Oryzias latipes: one gene and its partner. The protein of the gene in region 1 interacts with the protein of each later gene in a pairwise test. Links are inferred from orthologs where the notes say so. Each region holds a gene or a part of one and is shown in the gene's direction. Other genes may lie near its edges.

Region 1 (5,984 bases):
TGTGCATGTTGGCGATTACTGAGAACGCTTTGATCAAATTTCAGAGGCCACGACTGTTATGCTTAAAAGGCACTTTCTATGATCGTTGGCTTGGGTTGTATTTTCTGTGTAAATTGCATACAAAGAAAGCTTAAGAGGTGTTTCTCAAGGGCTTAAAATGTTTTACGCTCACACTCCATTGGCATACGCACCATGGAAAAGATTAACCATACTTGGAGTGCAGCATACTAGTGTGGTTTAAGGCTGATGCAGAGAGTGACTGAAAGAGATTGGGGAGCTGCATTGTATCACCTCTAACCACTGACCCCAGAGAAAAGAAAGGGTTTTAACCAAAACACCTGCATATCCTGAAAACCAGATCAGACAGAGAGGGAGGGCTTGCTTGAGGGACCAGGGCTGTCACGCCTTTATTGGATAAACTTCTAAATTCATGCATTTGCATTAATCTGTCAGTCTGCAAAATGTTTACAATTATTATAATTTCATGTGAATTACCATCTTAAATGGATTAATCAGTTTTAACAATAGGTAAAGTAAATGGCTCTTTTATTTTGACATCCCATAGCATAGAAGGCACTGATTTATCCATAAAAATTTAGAAAAAAGACACAAATCCTCATTTTGGGAAACCATGAAGTGAACTGTTAGAGAGCAACTGGAAAAGACAGCGGGTATGTCAAGCTTTCCAAGTTCAGCTGCCAGTACTGAGCAGGACTAAAAGATGAACCTTTGTGTTGACGTTGTCTCAAAAAATCTGGGAAACATCTCAGACACCATCAATACGACCAAATCGGTCCCTGTTTCTGAATTTTCAGCCTGTTTTGTCGATTTTTTTGCTACAGAACAACAACAGAGTTTAGTGGGTTGCTAAATCATAGACAGATAAAGTAATTCCTCTCCTTTCCCATTTGGTTTTATTTAATAGTTTATTTTACTAAAATTACAAGTTAAGAAAAATATATGTTCAAATTGAGAAATTACAGATTGGAAAACAGGATTTATGGAAGATTAATAATCCCAGATTACTTTCAATCATGATTGACAGCTGATGTAATGTGTTTATATTATTATTAGGTGTTTGCTTCAAGATATTATTATAATACAGGACTATTTGTTTACTTCAAAACTGATTAATGGAGACTTTAAGGTATTAAGGATTTATAGAAGTATAATTATTTTCTACCAATCATGCTTTACATCTGAGATGTAGTGTTTATGCAAATATCATGTGTTTACTTTAAGACATATAAATTCATCTGTATTATAGCCAAACATCTGCTCTTTGACATAAGTCATTTTTCTAAAAAGTGTTTTTATTTTTTGTAATGCAATTTTGTAACCCCAGATTTGTGAAATTTCAAAGGTAGATTCTTTCCCCTCCAGCAAAATTCTTGTGTCTTTTTAGGTTTAGTTTTATTAGTCTGTCAGTGAGTGATTATGTCCACATACTTTAAGATGTGACCACGTTTTATTACGTCACAGTTTTAAAAAGGCAACTTTGTTTTTATGAATGTGTTTAATTAGAATATGTGGTTATGCTGCCCCCTGCTGTCACAAAGCCATATTAACTGTCTGCGGCTCCAAACTTGACCGTTGCCACATTATGTAATATGAAACCTTCAATGCCATTGCATATATCAATAATATTTAGATTTTTTATTAAGACCTGAAAATATTTTTCTAAATTCGGCGAAATACACAAAATTTAGATTAAAACGGAACCTCCATGCGAACATCTTCGTTAAAGCGTGATTAAATAGAAATACTGTACTTTATTTCGTCGAGAATGCTTAATTAAAACTATGATGTCTTGTTTGGTTCGTTTAAAATTACAAAAACTGAAGATACTGCGCGTTTAATTGCCGGGATTTATGCAAAACGCTCCAGTTTCTTTGTGGCGGCTAACTGCCAGCGGTCCATTCATAGCTGTCCAATCAGTGTGGAGCTTACTGGCCTCCTCCGACCAATAACGGCTTGACTTCTTCCTTGCCCTGTCGCGACCGCCGACAGACAGAAGCAAGTGGACTGGTTTTAAGCTAAGCTAATTCAAGTCAAATTGCAGCCGCTTTGGGATTTTTTCCACCGACTTTAGTCTCCGTAAATGCATCGATATTTTTTCAAAAAAATCTAACATATCTTTTCGTATTTTGGGGTTTGGGCTAACGAGCGGAATTGCACGAATATTTGGGTAAACGGCTTCCGTGCTGCTAGCTAAGAGGCAGCGGATAGGCGCCACTTTCTGTTTGACAACAGCGTAATTCGCTCACGTTCCGGCTGTTGTTGTTTGTTGCGGCTTACTGAGCCACCTAGTTTCTATTAGCTGTTAGCAGCAATTAGATACGTTTTCATACGGAGTAAACGAAACTAAAAAAGCAAGTTAGCATGGCCGAATTTCACGAAAATCCGTCAGTTCTCACGAAAGAGAGACTGAAAAGCGAGCTTGCAGCAAACAATGTGCCGCTGCCGAGCGGAGACCACAAAAAAGAAGTGTACGTTCAGCTCTATAAGAAGAACCTGACCGCACAAAACAACAAGAAGAGTCTGCCTGCAGACACTTTTTCCAGCGACGAGGAGTTACCCACTCCCGTGGTGTCCAATAAAAGCCGCTCGGGAAAAGTCAGTTCTGATCATTGATTTCCTAGCTTGATTGAAATTGATTTAGCCGTCATTTTGGTTCGAGTTTGAACTAGTTTTTCCCTCGATGCATCGATATTATTTTTTCCTTTGCAGAAAGCAACAAAAAAGACGGATAAACCCCGCTTAGAGGACGTGGAGGTGACAGAGCTAACAGATGAAGATTTGAAACAGCAGCTGGCAAAGTATGGCGTGAACCCAGGACCCATTCTTGGTGAGATTAGCGCGTCTTAAAACTTTAAGACTAAGGTGTTTTTTCAAAATAATCATGTACCACCTAAAAATAATAATCCACACATTTTAAAATAATTGTATTAAACCTAAGTCTATAATTTAAATAAAAAATTACTTATTTTTATTTACAAATTAATGTTGTCATTCATCTTTGCTTTGAGGTTGATTAAAAAAAACGTCTTTAGCTCTTCTGCATCACTTTTTCTTTGGTTATCTGCGTGATTTCAACGCCCATTTGTAAGCAAGTTCTATCTGAGCTAAACCTGTAATGAAAGAAAACGGGCGTGGATCCTGTGTGTGTCTCTCTCTGCGCGCGTGACTGTGTGTGTGTTGAATCATGCCGTTTGTATGTGTAATGCAACGCTAAAATCAAGTTTACTCTGGCACGCTTTCTGACACAATCAAGTACTTTGTAAACTATTTCATTCAGTTGTTTATCTTTGGACATGGTTTACAAATCCACAAGTACTTAACTTTGTGAGGCGTGTTTTATTGAGGCTGCTCATAACTTCTGCGTTTTTTGTTTTTTAAATTGATAATAGCTGAGATCTCTCAGAAACATTTCTCATAACTTCTATGTGCATGTGAAACATTTAAATTTAGAGTTGATCTCACGATTTCCATGGAGTAATTTGTTTACACGTTTAAACATTTTCAGTGTTAATAGGTCATTGTGCAACTGAGACTGCATATAGCGGAACCTTTAGCTCTAGGTAGTCTTGATTCACATGTGTAAACTAGCATGAAACAGTCAAATTACAGTATATTTATTGGGTTTTTTTCCCACTTACGCTCGTCTTCTCAGCTACTACCCGTAAGGTGTATGAGGATAAGCTGCAGAAGCTTCGGGATGAGGTTGCAGATGAGGGTGAAGCTCCAGATGTTACAACGCTCCCAAAGGCAGACAGTAGCCAGAATGGCAACACAAATTCCGACCAGTACAGTGACAAAGAAGACGGTACACTCAAACTTAACCTTTCTGTCCAGGTCTTTTATGACAGAAAGCTTCACATTTGTTTTTTTGCCTTTTTATGGTTGTTTTTTCCTGCAGAGGAGACTGCTCCCCCTGAACCAGAGCAGGTCCCTGTGGTGGAGAAGCCTGTGAGGAGCAGAGGAAAAACTCCTGTCACCGGCAGGACCAGCAGCAGGCGGCAAGTAAAGGTAAGAGCCACTATTCTCTCTCCACGCTCCAAAAGAGTTGTGAGGTTTTGCATAAATTTATTTGCAATCCATTGGCAGGTTGTGGAGGAGATTTTAAACGAAGAAACCCCAAAAAAGACCAGCAAGAATGTGATTGAAGACATCCTTGCCAACGAGATAAGCACTCCAACAGGCATCAGGTAACCTTGTTTTTGTTTTTTAAGTCATCATGTTTGGTGTTGTTACCACATAGTGAAAAGATATTGGAAGGTGGCTAATACTTCTTTTGGAAATGTTGCTTCAATTCTAATCATAAAAATATGGTCCACGGACAAGCTAAGTTGGCGCGTGCAGATAATTAGGAGAGAGAAGTCATTTCAGTCATGAAAATTTCTTAATCAAACAACCTTTAGTGTGAAAAAATCTGTTTTAATAGATTGCAATGGAGGCCTTTGTTCCCCTGGGTTTTTATCACAGTTATTTCACAGCATTTTAAAAAACTAAAGAAAAAGTTCATTCCTGGTCCATTTACCATTTAAAAAAATTTATATATATATATTGTTTGTCCTTCAGTGCAACCTGCAGACGCCCAATCAAAGGAGCAGCTGGTCGACCATTAAAACCAAGTGAGTACTGGCTGGATGAATCCCGTGTACAGCGCAGCATCAGCACTGAGACCCGCACATACTCCGAGACCGTCTCCCGACCCATCGCCTCCGTTCCCTCAAGCAAAGCACCGGTCCGGCGAGGCTTTCTGTCCCTTTTGCTCAAGCTCCTCCTCCTTGCCGTGGTGGTGGGTTCACTCTACTACGTCTACCAGAACCTGGATTCTGATCAGGTTCGCACCCTCAGAGGCCTCCTGGACAGCGTGATTGTCCCAGTCCAAGGCGCCGTGGAGACTGCCGCCACCTACCTGGGCATTGGCAGCAGCGGTGCCACAGAGGGCGCCGGCAAGTAAAGACCCTCAGCCGCTCGTCGTCGTGTCCACATCCTCCTCCCTGCCTCAGAGCACCACAACTTAAGCAGCAAACTTTGCAGACCTCTTCTTTTTCCTACAAGTTTGGACAAAGGACAAAAATGTAATTGGATTAATGAACTTTCTTTTAATTTTTTATTTTTCTTGCCAGACTCAAGCGTTCCTCCCACCACAAGAGGGAGGTGTACTCCAGCAGTAGCTTTTGGATAACACTGTTCTGTGGCAGTCAAAAGAGACTAATTTTAATGGTTTTAATATGTGAATCGTTTGTGTCTTTGTGTGTTTTAACTCTTCCACGTAGAAAATGAGTGCGGTGTGGAGAGGCCACTCGAACCATGCATGGTGGTAGTTTTGACAGTCATACTGTAGTTTTTATCTCGCGCTCTGTGCTAGGTGTTTTTCTGACGGTGAAGTGCCTGGACACTCGTTAGCACTTAGTGCCCTCCCATGTTCCTGTTTTCTCGCACAACGCTGCATTTCTACTCCCACTGCCCCTCCCATGTTCTGTATGAGTTCTATACACTTTTGCTTTGTAGCTGTAGTGTAGTGGGTCATTTCTGTCTATGGTGCTCAGGTTCTGATTTGTTGATGGGGAGGGGCATGTTGTAATCAGGTCACAGCATGAAAAAGATTATGTTAAACTTTTTTTTTCTTCTTTATTCTTGTGGCTGATTTGTTCATATTCGCACAACGTGACCCAAACTACAGGTAATTTTAGTTTACTAAGAAGTCAAAAACATAAATTTCTCAACATAAAATCTTTAATGGCAAAATAAAAATGAAGTATTATGTCATGTATTTGACAAAGATTCCACAAGGAAAGTAAAATTGCAGTGTTTTTATAATAGTTTTCTTTATTTCCATTCATAACATTTGCCTATTTGCTTTTACGTATGCTAGGGTTTAGGTATCTGCTGTGCTTCTCATTTAGGTTTTCAGTTTTTATCTTTTGTAAGATTTCTGATCCTTCGGTCCTCCATATTGGACTGGCGGTTGCACT
Region 2 (5,767 bases), on another chromosome or scaffold:
CTGTAATTCCATCAGGTCCAGGTGATTTACCACTGGCCATCTGGGAAACAGCTTTATCAAGCTCATCTATAGTAAGTTCAGATTCCATGAGATCTCTAAATGTCTTGTCTATTTTAGGGACTTTATCATAGATTAACCTTTCAAATAAAAGTGTGTTTTGATTTGAATATTGAGTAGTGTAAAGATTTTTATAGAAGTTGGTGATATAGTCCTTAATATTGTTTTGATCGTCTACTAGAGAGTTTTCTATCTGTAGCTTAGTGATTGTTTTTTTCCTTTGTCTACTTTTTTCCAAGTTAAAAAAGTAAGTTGAATTTTTTTCTCCATCTTCCATCCACTTTGCCTTTGAACGAATAAATGCTCCTTTGGCTTTTTCGGTATAGAGTTCATCTAATTTAGATTGCAATTTGTTAATTTCAATGACATTTTCCTCACTCAGTTGAGTTAAATTACACAAAGTGTTTAATTTTGAAATTATTTCAGTCTGTTCTTGTCTTTTTTTCCTAGCCAAAATTTTTCCTTCTACAATTGCAATTTTTCTAATATTAAATTTCAACCACTCCCATCTATTAATAGGAGACAGGTATTGTATTTCTTTTATTTCAGGAATAAGTGATTTGATTTTTTTACAAAAGTTTTTGTTATTTAAAAGGCTATTATTGAATTTCCAGTGGGATGTTCCATTTTTTGGTTGATTTTTTTCAGGGGAAAGAGCCAAAGTGATAGCACAGTGGTCAGTGAGAGGAGAGTGGGAGATATTACAATTCAAGGTTGAAGATGTTAGATTACTTGTTACTAACCAGTAATCTATCCTTGAGCGTTGAGAGTGTTGAGAGTTATTCCAGGTGTATTGAAGCTTATTTGGATTTTGTCTACGCCAAATGTCGATAAGGTCGAGAGAGTTAGAAAATTCCGAAATAATTTTATTGAAATGAGGAGAGTTGTGTTGAGTTGGATATCTGTCTTGGTTTTCATCTGGTACTACGTTAAAATCACCTGCAACAATAATCTTGTCAGTTGCATACATCTGTTTCCAGTTGATTATCTTGTGATTTATGTTTGTGAGGAATTTCTGATTTTTTGTCCTATTATTGAAACCATAAATGTTAACAAGAATATATTTAGTGTCGTCCACCTCAATGTTAACCATTAGCCAATGACCTTCTGTGTCACTTTTATGATCAACAATTTTACCATCAAAATTATGTAAGAAAATTGCCACTCCTGCTGAACGAGGACTTCCATGAGATAAATAAATGTTTCCACTGCCCCACTGAGATTTCCAAAAATCAAAATCTTCTTCACTACTGTGTGTCTCTTGAAAGAAAAAACAGTTCACGTTAACTTGTGCCTTACAGTAAAGAAAAATTGCCTTGCGCTTTGTTACATTCTTAAAACCATGAACATTTAAAGACAACAAAGAAAGAACCATAAAGAATAGCTAGAAAGCAATTAACTCCATAAAGGGCTATAATGCAATTTCACATTTTTCTAATCGGTTTTCTCAAAGCTGTAATAACATTTAACACTATAACATACCAGCTTTGGATTTATTTTCTCTCTTCTTCTTCAGGAAGATGTCTTTGTCCATTCAGTCTAGATGAAGGAGTATTGGTTTCAAGCAGTGACCTGATGACCATCGATGACCGCGTATCCGTCCTTTAAAAAGGCCTTGAGTCCTCTCTTCCTCGCCTCCTCCACTCTCGGCCAAAGACGCTGACGAGTCTCCCTGTCTTCTTTGCAAAAGTCTTCTTTGAAGCGAACATTTAGATCTTTGCAGATTTTTGCATTTTTTGACATTCTCCAGACTTGGTCTCGAACCACTCACATTCCAAACTGGATGATAATCTGTCTTGGTTGGTTATTTTTTCCTTTCTGTCCCAGCCGATGTACTGTGTCCACTGAGTGTCGTAGTTCCTCAACGTTGACCGACGTCACTTTGGAAAGGATCTTGAGAGTTTCATCTCGTGTGATTTCCCCTTCTTTCTCAGAAAGGCCAATAAGTCGCAAAGACCATCTTCTTTTATATCTTGCATGTTCCAGACACATTTCACGGAGAGAAGCATTTTCTTTTTGCATAGACACCATCTGCAGTTTGAGGCGGTTCACATCTTCCACAACACTTTTAACAGCAGCTGTATTTGTATCAACAGATTCTTTAACTTGTTTAACTGCATCTGTGATCTCTTGCAGTTGAAACTCATATCCTTTCAGATATTCGCTTTGAGTGTCAAACTTGGTTGTCAGGGTTTGAATCGCGTTAAAGAGGACACTGTTGGATATTTCCTCCTTGCGTTCTTGTGGAGCATTCTTTTTAATCTTTTTAGGGTTTGGGCTTTTTACCGGTGTGTGGTGTCTGTTGACTCTCGTTTGATCTTGTGAGATGTCTTCCTGTTCCTCCATCCATTCAACTTCTCCCTCGCTGCACGTCTGTCCTGAAGCCACTAGATGGTACTCATGGTCTTTGCTAGTGTTAGCCATTTCTTCACGTCGAAGTTTGAAAAATATAACGAAAACAGTGGTAAACAAACCTCTTTCAAGCTGAATCGGTTTGAGAGTTCTTTGCTGGTATTTTCTTTAGCTTTGGTTGAACTTGTCATATAGAAAGAGTTATTATTTCAGGTAAAGCGTCGGAGCCCCGAAAAAAGTAACCGCTTATTCCGCCATCTTGGTAACACCCCAGTATTTTTCTTCTCTGCATCCTCGCTTGGACATTTGTCCAGCCTGGTGAACTTCCGGAGGACGTGGAACGCGCCTTCCCTCCCCTTCCCATCATCCTTTGCAGCGCGGACGGAAGCCGTCTTTTGGCGCGGTGTCGTCCATCTTGCGGTCCATTTCGTGCTAGGGTCCCCTTGATTCCGCCGCTCTCGTGTCGAGATCCCTCCGCTGGTTCGGCAGACGGGTCCAGGTTCGGTGAAGCAGACGCAGCTCGGTTATGGCGGCGGTTAGCATGACTCCCAGCCGAGATACGGGTCGGTCGGCGGCCTCCACGCCGCTTTCGCCGACCCGTATCTCCCGGCTGCAGGAGAAGCAGGACCTGCAGCAGCTCAACGACCGGCTGGCCGTCTACATCGAGCGGGTGCGGGCGCTGGAGCTTGAGAATGACCGGCTGATGGTGAAGGTGTCTGAGAAGGAGGAGGTGACCACGAGGGAGGTGAGTACCGGGCACGTGCAGTGTGTGCGCGCGCCCCCGCCAGCGCTAGTTTTGTGTGTTTTGGGGTAAGTGGGGGGTGTGTGATCAGTCTTTGTTTCTGTTCTGTTCGCGCGCGCGCGCGCGCGCGTGTTTGAGTAAGTCCAACCTTCAGTCCGTGTGAAAAATCCAGGTCTGGTTTTTGGGTGTGACCCACTTTTCCAGCTCTGCTGTTTGAACGCTTTCCCCCCCTTTTATAACCAAAGTGGCGCCGCTTCTGCGGGACATAGTCAAGCTTTCCAATAGTTCAGAAATGATCAACCAAACCATTATCATACTTTGTTTTTAATAAATCCTAAATTTAAAAAAGTGCTTTTCTGTTTGTTTCTACTTTATTTTGAAAGGAAAAAATTTTTAAATTGTAAAAATCAAACTTTTTGAAACTTTTTGGATCAGATTATAATAATTCTTAAAAACTTGTAAAAGTTTGTAAAAAAAATTCAAAGAACAGGATCTGGATTAGTTCTTGGACCTGGAACAGGGGTCAGAGCCGCATGTGACTCTGATTCCCTCCATTCAATGCGACTCTGGTATTGGTAAAAAATGCTCATGAGTGATAAATAATAGGCTAGGCTAGTTAAGTAAATTTATCATTCATTTTTAAATTTGTTTTAAATACAAATAACATTGTTTTCATGTTCAACCACTGCTGACACATTAAACTTCTAAATCAGGAGGCATTGGGAGCTTTAACATTCCTCTAAAATGCACACATGTTTAGGTGAAATGATGGGAAAAGGTTTGATCTTTTGTCACAGGGGTTTCTTATTAAAATAAGTTTAAAAGCATATTCTTTTATGCATTGTAGCTGTTCAGAGGCCAAATTCTTAGTGTAGTAGCAAATCTACTGAATGTGGATCTTATTAGAAACAGGATGTATTTTATTTTGAAAGGAACTTGAATGTGCTGCTGTCAATATAAGTAATAAAAATACAACATAAAATGATAAAATTACTGCAATAAATAAAAAGCTGTTTAAATGGCCACAAAGACGTAAATAAAGTTACATTTTATGAATGTTGAGATGGGACTTTGGTTCTCGCTGGGTTCTGGTCTGGAAGAAGCTGGGGCAATTGACTCCTTTAGTGTTGAAGGTTGCAGACTCCTGTGCCAGAAGGATCTTGAACGTTCCTCATTTACATGAACTAGGTTTCATCTTAATCCACGTGAAGCAGTTTTTCTTATTGACAGTTTGGAAACAGAAACTTTTTGTTAGGGGCAATTGTCACAAAATGTGATGAGGTCTAGCTGCTTTACAGCCTCAGAGGTCTTGTTTTTGCCCTGGTTGAAGTGCCCCTGTCTGCTGGTCTTGAGTTTTCTTGGTGAGGATGTGAGCTTAGAGAGCTCGGGGTGGTGTGTGCTCCTGTGTGGATTCAGCTGCTTCATCTTCTCTGTGCTGTAGGTGACGGGCCTGAAGGCGCTGTACGAGGCGGAGCTGGCTGACTTACGCCGGGTTTTGGATGAAACCGCCAAAGAGAGGGCTCGGCTCCAAATCGACCTGGGGAAGGCTCAGGCGGACCTGGAGGAGGCCACGCGCAGGTGAGGACCTCCCTTAGACCAAATGTTGCCCAAAGATATCAACGTTAACGAGGGGTCTTCTTCCTCCTGCAGCGCCAAGAAGAAGGAGGCTGACCTGGCTGCCGCCGTGTCCCGGGCCAACAGTCTGGAAGGTCAGCTGCACAAAAGCGAGGCTGCTCTAAGCACCGCCCTGAGCCAGAGCGCCGCGCTGACCTCAGAGCTCGGCGAGGTCAAGAGCCTGTTGGCCAAGGTGGGCACTGGATGGGTTTCTGTCTACGAGTCTGAGCTGCTGCTCGCTGTGCCGTCTCTTTTACCTTCCTATAATTGCCCCTCTCCCTTCTGACCGGAGGTTTCTGGGAAAATGTGCCCTTCTTCAGTAGTAGATTTTAGAATTTTCAGTTTATTTCTGATGGGGGGGGGGTTTGTCACCTGGGCAGGCGGAGGATGGCCATGCCGTTGCTAAGCGCCAGCTGGAGGCGGAGACTCTGATGCGTGTGGACCTGGAGAACCGCTGTCAGTCTCTGAGTGAGGATCTGGACTTCAGGAGGAACATGTTCGATGAGGTAAGTCTTCACTCGTCCCACAGCAGCTGCCCAGCTAGCATCATAGAGTAATATTTGAGCCACTAAAATGACTAGAAAAGCGAAATGTCTGAAAAGTGCAGTTTTAATTAAGAAAAATGGGTGTGAATTCCCGGTTTTGCCTTTAAAATCTCTCTTTTTGTGTGTAAAAATGACATTTTTGAGGTTAATATTGTTATTTTGCAGAAGAATTTTCAGACGACTTCTCTATATCTTTGCGTTTTCACCCCTGAAATCAGCAATACAAATGTGGGTCACAACCAGCCAATCACAGACAAGAAGGTTCATCCTGATTGGCCTGGATTCCGTCCATATAAGTGATCTTATTTGTTAAAGAAGGACGTGAAACTGTAGGTTTTGATTGTAGGCGAGGAGCTTATGAATCAAAAACGGTGACTTCAGTTCTGGTTTTAGTGGCACAAACGTTGGCGTCACGGAGCGTTGGCGTGCGGTCGGCTGTCAGCAGCTTCTCTTCCTC

What was found.
Region 2: the proteins of lamina-associated polypeptide 2-like (region 1) and lmnb2 interact in a two-hybrid assay, tested with the Homo sapiens proteins (2 studies listed by BioGRID, with this or other methods). The link is inferred for Oryzias latipes from reciprocal best matches to the Homo sapiens genes TMPO and LMNB2.

Annotation. Positions count from the first base shown.
Region 1 is NC_019864.2:13,481,370-13,487,353, forward strand, and holds the start of lamina-associated polypeptide 2-like, read left to right. Parts: upstream 1-1,975; 5' UTR 1,976-2,382; coding exon 2,383-2,616; intron 2,617-2,730; coding exon 2,731-2,848; intron 2,849-3,673; coding exon 3,674-3,826; intron 3,827-3,919; coding exon 3,920-4,029; intron 4,030-4,107; coding exon 4,108-4,208; intron 4,209-4,581; coding exon 4,582-4,966; 3' UTR 4,967-5,984. UniProt on the Homo sapiens protein: May help direct the assembly of the nuclear lamina and thereby help maintain the structural organization of the nuclear envelope. Possible receptor for attachment of lamin filaments to the inner nuclear membrane.
Region 2 is NC_019862.2:5,408,016-5,413,782, reverse strand, and holds the start of lmnb2 (lamin-B2), read left to right. Parts: upstream 1-1,990; 5' UTR 1,991-2,935; coding exon 2,936-3,154; intron 3,155-4,592; coding exon 4,593-4,729; intron 4,730-4,801; coding exon 4,802-4,958; intron 4,959-5,145; coding exon 5,146-5,271; intron 5,272-5,767. UniProt on the Homo sapiens protein: Lamins are intermediate filament proteins that assemble into a filamentous meshwork, and which constitute the major components of the nuclear lamina, a fibrous layer on the nucleoplasmic side of the inner nuclear membrane.